2 linked regions of the Arabidopsis thaliana genome follow. The gene in region 2 interacts genetically with the main gene of each other region. Each region holds a gene or a part of one and is shown on either strand. Other genes may lie near its edges.

What was found. A genetic interaction does not mean that the proteins touch.
Region 1: of BRM (region 2) and PMT2, extra expression of one rescues a mutant of the other (dosage rescue), as found in Arabidopsis thaliana (one study listed by BioGRID).

What each region holds. Positions count from the first base shown.
Region 1 is NC_003071.7:7,000,102-7,005,608, forward strand, and holds PMT2 (polyol/monosaccharide transporter 2), read left to right. Parts: upstream 1-2,070; 5' UTR 2,071-2,220; coding exon 2,221-2,347; intron 2,348-2,441; coding exon 2,442-2,788; intron 2,789-2,880; coding exon 2,881-3,942; 3' UTR 3,943-4,134; downstream 4,135-5,507. UniProt on the Arabidopsis thaliana protein: Plasma membrane sugar-proton symporter.
Region 2 is NC_003071.7:18,920,662-18,926,904, forward strand, and holds the start of BRM (transcription regulatory protein SNF2), read left to right. Parts: upstream 1-1,871; 5' UTR 1,872-2,539; intron 2,540-2,615; 5' UTR 2,616-2,642; coding exon 2,643-2,816; intron 2,817-3,113; coding exon 3,114-4,388; intron 4,389-4,511; coding exon 4,512-5,819; intron 5,820-5,989; coding exon 5,990-6,102; intron 6,103-6,243. Other genes in the region: AT2G45990 (ribosomal RNA small subunit methyltransferase G), read left to right, coding at 1-25, 127-203, 282-382; AT2G46000 (LDL receptor wingless signaling/trafficking chaperone), read right to left, coding at 533-712, 800-928, 1,069-1,386. UniProt on the Arabidopsis thaliana protein: ATPase subunit of a multiprotein complex equivalent of the SWI/SNF complex that acts by remodeling the chromatin by catalyzing an ATP-dependent alteration in the structure of nucleosomal DNA.

The DNA of each region.
Region 1 (5,507 bases), about 12 Mb from region 2:
TAAGGTGCTTACTCATATACAATTTTTTGGATTTTGTTGATAAAGTAATTGGATCTTGTCTCTTAGTATGACATAAACTTGAGAGATTAACTGTTGAAAAACTGATACAGTGGTGGCCTACTCACTTTGGAGATGATCATATGAACGTCAAAAATTCAATGAAGTTGATTTTTCTGAAGGGTCCATTGGACCGTATAGTGTGGACATATGCAACTCAGCTACTGGATGAGAAAGCTTTGCATGCTTAGTCTCATCTAAGTATCAAGCCATGGTAAGAGGTAAATCAAAGATAAGAGTTAGATGGATTCGAGCTGTGTTTGTTTTGGTAACAATTATTCGCATAAATCGGCGCTTGATAGTTAATTTTTAGGAACATGATTGATGTATTTTTGGCATTTGCTTTTGGTATATTTCGATTATGGAAATTGAGATCTCCATGTGATAATTTCATTTTTGAACAGATCTTGGACAACGTCAGAAGAAACACTTGAAGAAGGGAGGTGGCAAGAAGAAGCTTAACATATACTTCAATGCAGGTCACAGACATGGACATGGACATAAATATGCATCACTTAAATCTTTTAAACATTTTGCCACTTTGATCTAACCTTTTGCTATTTCTCATGCAAAACTTAAAAATCGCTGGCTTGAGTGGCACTCGGGAGAAAACCATATAAAATTCTTTGGTCACCGGACTAAGAGAATGTATGGATCTCAACCTTGGCCTATGACTTCTTAGTTATTCAAGAGAAAAAAACATGTACATGTTGTCTTTAATATTTAAAGTTTGATGTATTCTATTGTAAAAAATATATATATATATATGTGATGCTAACTTAGTGAAATAATTGTTATGCATGTTCGATTCAAATCTATATTTGATAAAATCACCTAATCAAGATAAAAGTAAGATACAATTCTAAAAACTTAAATAGAAATACAAACAAAAATGAATTAGCTTAAAAGATTTTTTATTTTGCATGAATTTTAAATTTTATACACCAAAAAACCTTTGTTACATTATACGCATCTTTGATCAGAGAATCTGAAATTTGAAGTTTGAGACTAAATCAAATAATTTTAAAAGTTTCAAAAAACGCAGCCCTATAAGTGCTTTCTTGCAACGTTGATAGCCGACTCTTAAAAAGTATATATCCAAAAGCCAGGCTCGTGGAACTCTCTTTACATCATTGAGATGCATCGAATTCAGTTACCAAGTTCAATCCTATGTTTGAGATTCTTGCTGATGTAGGAACTAGGGAGCTTCTCCATGTTGGGTTTTATTTTAGTTCTCTTTTATCTTTATTTTGAATATTCTTGTTTTGGAGTTTTCCGATTACATATAGGTTTTGATAAGTCTTTAAGATACTAGATAAGTATCGATTCCTAAAATGAGACAAGGTTTTTCGTGTTCTTATATATAGATGTCAATCCCTTGACTTGCAACTCTGTAAGGTACAACCCCTCGATAATATTGTGGGGCAGCCTGGTTGGAACTCCCGTCGAGAGAGATGCACACGCTTAGACATGGCTAGAGTGCTTGTCAAAGTAGACTTAGAGAAGCCTTTGTCCGCTCAAATAAAATTATCATTGAAAAAACTTGTATTGGAGTTGACAAGGATTGTACGTTGCTCGGAGCCTCAAAAATGCGGAAATTTCTTGACTCTAGTAACGAATGGATATAAACATTGGCCTATGTGAAACAAATTAAGCATCAGTAAAAAGAGAGTGAGCAATCTTATTGCATGTATCTACACAATTCTTACTTGCACTGTTTATATTTAGATTTATAACAATCTGATACGTGTAGATGCCTATTTACTTATGTTTCTAAGTTTAGAAAAGAAAATAACAAAAAAAAAAAACGTAAAAAGTGAGACAAAACTTAAAATCTTAAATGATCTGGTCTTACTGTAAACTGCCAATTTTAGGACAAAACTTGTAGTTGAGAGAAAAAACCTGCGTCTCTTGATATCTTCTAATCCGATTTCCTATCCTCTGAAACTTTTTAAACCGTTTTAAGTAACTGAATGTTTTTTATTGTTTAAACATTCAGTTATTGGTTGGCTTCAGTTGTGAGTATCATTCATCTATTTAAATCTCTTCATCTTTCAATAGGTCTCGTGTCTCACAAGAAACAAAGTTCATCTGCTAATATCACTCTCTCTTCTCCTTACTAATTACGTTTTCACCGTAAGTTTTACAATCGCGGTGGACACAATGAGTTCCTCAGGAGAAGAACGAGGTGTTGTTGTTGCCGAGTCCGAGCCGCCAAGAGGGAATAGAAGCCGATTTGCTTTTGCTTGTGCAATCTTAGCCTCCATGACTTCTATCATCCTTGGTTATGGTTGGTCTTCTAATCATTCTCTAACGATCAAATTTCAGATTTGGTTTGGTTTAACGGTTTAGATAATCATCCTCACATTTTATGGATGTTGCAGATATTGGAGTGATGAGTGGAGCTGCAATTTTCATAAAAGACGATTTGAAGCTGTCGGACGTACAACTTGAGATTCTTATGGGAATTCTAAATATCTATTCTCTGATCGGTTCAGGAGCAGCTGGAAGAACTTCCGATTGGATCGGAAGACGATATACCATAGTGTTGGCAGGATTCTTCTTCTTTTGTGGAGCCCTACTAATGGGTTTTGCCACTAACTATCCTTTCATTATGGTCGGCCGTTTTGTAGCCGGTATCGGTGTCGGTTACGCTATGATGATTGCGCCTGTTTATACCACGGAAGTCGCTCCAGCCTCTTCTCGAGGCTTCCTTAGCTCTTTCCCTGAGGTTCAATAGATCCAAATTTTACTAGTTTATATGATATAAAAAAAAAGAAAATTAGGTTTATATTAATGTGATATGATTTTATATGCATGCAGATATTTATCAACATTGGTATACTATTGGGATACGTATCCAATTACTTCTTCGCCAAGCTTCCAGAGCACATTGGATGGAGGTTCATGTTAGGTATTGGAGCTGTGCCCTCAGTGTTTCTAGCCATTGGAGTGTTGGCAATGCCCGAGTCTCCACGGTGGCTCGTCATGCAGGGTCGTCTAGGGGACGCTTTTAAAGTCCTTGACAAAACCTCAAACACCAAAGAAGAAGCCATCTCAAGGCTCAATGACATCAAACGCGCAGTTGGAATCCCCGATGATATGACAGACGATGTTATAGTCGTTCCGAATAAAAAGAGCGCTGGAAAAGGCGTGTGGAAGGACCTTCTCGTTCGACCAACCCCGTCCGTTCGACACATCCTCATAGCATGCCTTGGTATCCATTTCTCCCAGCAAGCCTCCGGAATTGATGCTGTCGTGCTTTACTCTCCGACCATCTTCTCAAGGGCTGGACTGAAGTCCAAGAATGACCAGCTCTTGGCTACGGTCGCTGTCGGAGTTGTCAAGACTCTCTTCATCGTAGTAGGAACTTGTTTGGTGGACCGGTTTGGACGTCGTGCCTTGTTGCTTACGAGTATGGGTGGAATGTTTTTTTCCTTGACCGCCCTTGGAACTAGTCTCACGGTGATCGACAGGAACCCCGGGCAAACACTCAAGTGGGCTATAGGGCTCGCCGTTACGACGGTGATGACTTTTGTCGCAACATTCTCATTAGGTGCAGGCCCCGTGACGTGGGTCTACGCCTCAGAGATATTCCCCGTGAGGCTAAGAGCGCAAGGAGCAAGTTTGGGAGTGATGTTGAATAGACTAATGAGTGGTATTATAGGAATGACATTCCTATCTCTTTCTAAGGGTCTCACCATCGGTGGTGCATTCCTTCTCTTCGCCGGAGTTGCGGTTGCCGCGTGGGTCTTCTTCTTCACTTTCCTCCCGGAGACACGTGGTGTGCCTTTAGAAGAAATAGAGAGTCTCTTCGGGAGCTACAGCGCAAACAAAAAGAACAATGTTATGAGCAAAGGGAAACAAGTAGTTGATGAACAATGAGAGTGAAACAAAATTTGCTTCCATTTCATTATTTGGTTAATGGAACGTCGATACCAAAAGACTCGGTTCCGATCCGAGTCTTCATCGGGCGAGTGTGACCAATAAGAAAATTAATAAAGAATTTTACTTGCCATCTCTAAATTCATGTTGTATATCTTTAATAAGTTGTTTGCAGAGAACGAGATTAAGAATTAAACTTTTATAATCTGCCATTTCAATTAATAAATGCAACATAGGTTTGATTACAACCATTTTTTTTTTTTGGAAAACTTATTAAGGTACGTACGTTTCGGTTACTAGATTATTTGCTAGTTTAGTTTATAACTCAAAAGTGGGTTTGATGATCTACGATCCTTCCAATTAGTCTAATACTCCTATACAAAGGTGGTGTGATGAAATTGTTGGTGGAATTATATTTAATATCTTATTATCGTTATGAAATATATTGAATACATTTGTTAAAATTAGTAAGTAATTAACTTTATAGATGTATATAAATGTCAAAATTGATATATGTGGTAATAAACTTTGTGTTTATATGATAAGTCTTTGTTAATTTATCGAAGCTTGTAGAATTGTCGTTTCTATTTAATTGGTTTAGGGTTTTTGTTGGGTTATGAGCCTAAATTTATTTATTTTTGTTAAAAAAAAGATAACAAAGTATAATAAATTGCATAACCACACATGCCGACTAAAAATCATTTACACGTATATTATATTTACTTCAAAAGATGAGTTTGTACGGTGACATGCATCATCAACAAACATATGTTATATGACCAGCACCAGGACCATCAATCCGGTCACTATTCTCGTGAACCGTCCGGCCGTCAGATTTTCTTTGTTATGAATAAAGTTTGCTAGTTACACAAAGTAATTAGAGTACCCTCATTAAGAGTATTTAACTTGTTACATAGCTACACATAACAACTAAATTAATGTATAAGTACCCTCATTCTTAGCAACAAAAAAAATAAAGTACCCTCATCAAAAATTGGATTATTACAAAATGACGGACACCAACAAGCATAAGTTATATGACCAACATTATAATCATCAATTAAGTCACTAATTTGGTGTACCTCGCAAGAAACTTGGTAAAGATTAGAACCTAAAAATATAAGAGCAAGTCCAACGGTGCATCTTAACACATATCTTAGCATAATATCTTAGGTTTAAGTAATTAAAATTAAATCAAAAATGACTTAAATGCTAAGATTTACATCTTAGCTAAAATCTTTTATGTGTGCTAAGAAGCATGGACGTGTCCTGAAATGAGTGGTCCAAATTAAAGACAAAACCAAAAAATAAAATCACGCGTTCATCTTCTCTTTCTCTCTTTTTTTTTTTCTCTTTCTCTCGTTCTCGAGACATGCAAAACAAACACAAAAACTTCACCATCCGACTCGATCCGATGAATTGAGAAGAGATTTGAGTCGGAAATTCTTCGTTCATCTGTGGTCATCATCATTAACCGAATATGGAGACCATCGGCGATATCTGGTTCACCAGATCGAGATCAGAAAATCGAAGAATTCACCAAATCGGAGATTTGAGTTATTGGC
Region 2 (6,243 bases):
CAGAACATCAGGGCTTGACGCTGCAGTAACTCACGTTCTATATATCTATCAATAATTCTTCTATCTGCATGACTTGGTAATGGTCACCATTAGTTTACAATCCCTATGCATTTTTAATTTGGCCAGTTTCGTGGAAGACAGACTCGCAACGCTGAAAAATGTCATAAAAGAGCCTGAATTAGACAAATGGAGTTTATACCTAGGTGGTCTCTTCCCTCTCCCATATCATCACTTCTGGTTCCCCTTATTGGTTATTCTGACAAAAACTTATCTCAAAACAGGAACCTGGGGATACAACACTGAGAAAGAGAGAGCTGAAGCAGCAGGCATTCCCAGGATTCAGGTTATTGAGCTCTCCACGTTTAGCAATAAGCTTAAATGAGTGCATATACTCATTGGAAAAGAAACAAAGCTTTCCTCTTTATTGTATTCTACGGCATTCAACGGAAACTAAAAACCAAACATGTTTAGGTAAGATTCAGTAAAAGAGTTGAACTTTCAGTACTACCCATTATAGAAGCTTTTCTGTGACCTATAATTCATCCTTAGTAAGATCATTCTTGTTACCATCACCATCTTCGTGATCTTTCCTTTGCTCAGCTTGAAATTTGTCAAAGACATCTTCAAATGGAGGATCTCCAGGTCTTCTAAACTCTTGCTTCCCTATCTTGACCTCGTAAGCTTCTTCTTGGCTCAGCACGAATTCCCTTAGCTAATTGAAAGATATGATTGTGATGTTAGATTTTGACTAATCCACTAAACAAAGTTTTCAGCATTGTGTGTTTTCTGTGGCTTTTACCTCAGTCACAAGCTTCCCATTTTGCATATTGAACATCACTGTGCTTCGATCTACAGCCATGAATCTTACTCCTATCCCTCCTGTTCTTAAAACTTTTGTCCATTTCATAGCAATATCAATCACCACATCCTGATTGAAACATATAAACAGATCACTATTCAATCCCCTGAAGCAACTGGACCCATATCGAATTCAGAGAATTTTGAACAGTAACTGAAACTATAACTTAAGGACCCCAAATTCACGATTCGATTTGGATTTTAGTTTACCTTGGTACGGGGGACGCCTAACCGGAGCTTGACGAAACCGACGACGGTTCCAAAAGTCCGTTTAGCCATTTCCTCTTGGATCTGATCGAATCCCATATTGGTGAAATCCGGAGGCGGATCAAATTCCGGGGTCGTTGCTTTCTTCCCCCACTCTTTCCATGACTCGTCTTCTTCATTGTCTTCAACGTCGTCTAGGTCATCGGAGATCTCGATCCGTCGCTTCGTTGCTTCGGCGATCCGGACAAATCCGTGAAAATTCATAAAAAGAAGGAGGCCAACAAGTAGAATCAGCGAAGAAGAACGAACGATCTTCTCCATCGTTTAACAAATTTATTCAGGAATCAGAAACAGAGGAAGAGAGACTGCATCGGCAACGGCATTTCTATATCAGTAAAGCTTCTACAAACTCGCACACAAGTCACAAAACCATAATAATGTGACTTTTTACTTGTTTCGGGAAAAAAAACTATTAACGACATAAACTGAACCTGCTGGTTCAAAACTGTTCGCCGTTTTTCTATCTTAAAATAGAACTGCGTGCCAACTATTGACGTAAAGATGGCAAGCATATCAAGGCTGAAAGATGAAAACGACACGAGGTTGCACCGTAAATAAAACAAGGGTAATTGTATGATTCTCTCTAATCTACTACTGCACTACAGAAGGTAAAACTAAAAGTCAAAATTTGTCTAATTTTAAATTCAAATTAATTAATCAAGTAAAACAAACATAAGTCTAATTTGATTTCCAAATTTGTTTTTTTTTTTCTTTTTTTGATTTCCAAATTTGTTTATAGTAGTATCATTTTAGTATTCTTATTACCCAATACGGAAACAAATATTTGAAATAAACATGGAAAAATTAAAAGTCATTCCATTTGGTTAACAAAAGGAACGTTTGGTAAATTCACACGTGTCTCATCGTCATTTGTGCAACTGACTTGTATAAGGAAGGGTACTTGTGGTAATAAAAGCGAAAACCGAGGGGTGGCCTCGTGAAACGCATTTTCCGTGTTCCAACTGTATCGAGGCGTGGGACCTACAATCAAAAATAAAATAAAATTAATGCCCCTTCCAAAAAAAAAAAGAAAGAGAAAAAAAAGAAAAAGGGAAGTAAGAAGCCAGCTAGGGTTTGACTGCGAGAAATTTCTGATCTGCGTGAATTTCTCAAAGAGAGGAATCGATCATCGATTCCGTGGATTTCGTTTCCCTCCCTTTTTATTTTTATTTTTCGAGAAGCCATCTCAAAGGATCTGAGTTTATACCGTTGCATCCCCCGCGACTTTCGTTTTCCGATTTCCCCCAAATTCGATGCAAATCTAAGAAGAGAGAGAAATAGAAAGGTGTGTGCGCTTCAACCGACTCAGTGTCTCTCTCTCTCTCTCTCTCTCTCTCTCTCTGTTGCTATTTGAGGTTTTTTCCTTTGCCTCGGGGGCTCTCGCTGTCCGAATTCTTTTGTAGGGATTTATTGGGTAGGGTTTTTCCACTTTTTTTTTGTCTTCTTCTACTAGCTTCGTTGTGCATTGGGTTTAATTGTTTCCAGTGTAGTGACTGTCAGATTCTTCGACCAATTGCATGCAATCTGGAGGCAGTGGCGGAGGGCCCGCTCGGAATCCGGCCATGGGTCCGGCTGGTCGGACTGCTTCCACGTCATCCGCTGCTTCTCCTTCTTCTTCCTCTTCATCTGTGCAGCAGCAGCAACAGCAACAGCAACAGCAGCAACAGCAACAGCAGCTGGCGTCTAGGCAGGTAAAGGATTCTCAAGTCTCTGTTTGGTTCGTTATGACTTAGGAGGGATAAAATGCTTGTTTGTAGTGGCTAATGTTTGTCTGTTAAACTTGCGGCTATTCAATTTTAGTGGGACTTGACTGTTTATCAATTCTGTGTAAAAGGAAAGTAACCAATATCTTTAAATTGAAGTTGTGTAATGGTAGCCACTTGGAGAACATGTTTTGTTCATTTCCACATATATATATAGTTGCTCTGAATTGTGGATTATTGTTCATTTGATTGTTACTAATTATTATCGTGCTTCTGATATGGCAGCAGCAGCAGCAGCACAGAAACTCAGATACAAACGAAAATATGTTTGCATATCAACCTGGTGGGGTTCAGGGAATGATGGGCGGTGGCAACTTTGCTTCGTCTCCGGGCTCTATGCAAATGCCTCAGCAGTCTAGAAATTTTTTTGAGTCTCCTCAGCAACAACAACAACAACAACAACAGGGTTCTTCTACCCAAGAGGGCCAGCAAAATTTTAATCCAATGCAGCAAGCGTATATTCAGTTTGCTATGCAGGCTCAGCATCAAAAAGCACAGCAGCAAGCTAGGATGGGAATGGTGGGTTCATCAAGTGTGGGAAAGGATCAAGATGCACGAATGGGAATGTTGAATATGCAAGACTTGAATCCGTCTAGTCAGCCCCAGGCCTCATCATCGAAGCCATCGGGCGATCAGTTTGCTCGCGGTGAAAGGCAGACTGAATCAAGTTCTCAGCAAAGGAACGAAACAAAATCTCATCCTCAGCAGCAGGTGGGTACCGGACAACTAATGCCTGGAAATATGATAAGGCCAATGCAAGCACCACAGGCTCAGCAGCTTGTCAATAACATGGGAAACAACCAACTCGCATTTGCACAACAGTGGCAGGCAATGCAGGCATGGGCGCGTGAGCGTAATATCGATCTCTCACATCCTGCCAACGCCAGCCAAATGGCACACATCCTTCAGGCAAGAATGGCTGCTCAACAGAAAGCTGGTGAAGGCAATGTGGCCTCACAGTCACCATCTATTCCAATCTCTAGCCAGCCGGCTTCATCTTCGGTTGTTCCAGGTGAGAATTCACCACATGCCAACTCTGCTAGTGATATCTCTGGGCAGTCAGGATCAGCGAAGGCCAGACATGCATTATCTACTGGCTCATTTGCCTCGACTTCCAGTCCCAGAATGGTCAATCCTGCTATGAATCCCTTCTCCGGCCAAGGGAGAGAGAATCCAATGTATCCTCGACATTTAGTTCAGCCTACAAATGGGATGCCCTCAGGAAATCCCCTGCAGACTTCTGCAAATGAGACTCCTGTTTTGGATCAGAATGCATCTACAAAAAAAAGTTTAGGTCCTGCTGAACATTTGCAAATGCAGCAGCCTAGGCAACTGAATACACCGACTCCAAATTTAGTAGCGCCATCTGATACTGGTCCACTCAGTAACTCGTCCCTTCAGAGTGGACAGGGGACCCAACAAGCACAGCAGCGATCAGGATTTACCAAACAGCAACTCCATGTTCTCAAAGCCCAGATACTGGCATTTAGGCGTTTGAAGGTTTTCAGCTCTGACTTTTTCCTTATGTCTTCATTTTTATTGTATGTTTTGCTGGAGATGTATGCCTATAAATAACGTGTCTGCAAGCCAGGTTGAATGTTTTTAATTGCTTTTTTTTGACAGAAAGGGGAAGGTTCTTTGCCTCCGGAGCTTCTTCAAGCTATTTCTCCACCACCGCTTGAACTACAGACGCAGAGGCAAATATCTCCTGCCATAGGGAAAGTTCAGGATAGATCTTCAGACAAAACTGGAGAAGACCAAGCAAGGTCGCTAGAGTGTGGCAAGGAGTCTCAGGCTGCTGCTTCTTCAAATGGACCAATTTTTTCTAAAGAGGAAGATAATGTTGGAGATACAGAAGTAGCTTTGACGACAGGCCACAGCCAATTATTTCAAAACCTGGGAAAAGAAGCTACTTCTACTGACGTGGCTACGAAAGAGGAGCAACAGACTGATGTATTCCCTGTTAAGTCAGACCAAGGAGCAGATTCTAGTACTCAAAAGAATCCTAGAAGTGATTCTACAGCTGATAAGGGAAAGGCTGTTGCATCTGATGGAAGCCAATCTAAGGTTCCTCCACAAGCAAACTCTCCCCAGCCGCCCAAGGATACAGCCTCTGCCAGGAAATATTATGGACCGTTGTTTGATTTTCCCTTTTTCACTCGAAAACTTGACTCTTATGGGTCTGCAACAGCCAATGCCAATAACAATCTCACATTAGCATATGATATTAAAGATCTGATTTGTGAAGAAGGTGCAGAGTTCCTTAGTAAGAAAAGAACAGACAGTTTGAAGAAGATAAATGGTCTGCTAGCAAAAAATTTAGAAAGGAAAAGGATTAGGCCTGATCTTGTTTTACGGCTTCAAATTGAAGAGAAAAAGCTTAGGCTATCTGATCTTCAGTCTCGTGTTAGAGAGGAAGTAGATCGACAACAACAGGAGATAATGTCCATGCCGGATAGGCCGTACCGCAAATTTGTGAGGTTATGCGAACGGCAACGCCTAGAAATGAATAGACAAGTACTGGCCAATCAGAAAGCTGTCAGAGAGAAGCAGCTGAAAACCATTTTTCAGTGGCGTAAGAAACTCCTTGAGGCTCATTGGGCTATACGTGATGCACGCACTGCTCGTAACAGGGGAGTGGCCAAATACCATGAAAAGATGTTGAGAGAGTTTTCAAAGAGAAAAGATGATGGCCGCAACAAAAGGATGGAGGCCTTGAAGAATAATGATGTAGAAAGATACAGGGAGATGTTGCTGGAACAGCAAACTAATATGCCTGGTGATGCTGCTGAAAGATATGCTGTTCTCTCTTCATTTTTGACCCAAACCGAAGATTATCTTCATAAACTTGGAGGTAAGATTACTGCCACAAAAAATCAACAGGAAGTGGAGGAGGCAGCAAATGCTGCAGCAGTAGCAGCGAGATTGCAGGTATACATACTGCTTTCTCTACTCCACAGCGAATATCCATTACACTCTGTAGATAATTCTTCAAACTTTAACTTAAATGTTGACTTTTGCGTGTTTCAGAAAATAGAACTTTTTCTTTTCAAAGGTATAGTGGATATATAGTACCTTACCTGTTTCCGTTTTTGACGCAGGGGTTGTCAGAAGAAGAGGTCAGGGCAGCAGCTACTTGTGCTCGAGAAGAAGTTGTGATCAGAAATAGATTTACGGAAATGAATGCGCCAAAAGAAAATTCATCTGTCAACAAGTAAGGGCATTAGTCACACAAAAAATGATTAAAATAGGGAATTAGCAAAGTACTAGTTGTAACTCATAATTACCAATGCAGCTGAATACTTAAAAAGTATGTGCTTATCTGTAAAATGCTGATAATCCTGCACATCCATAT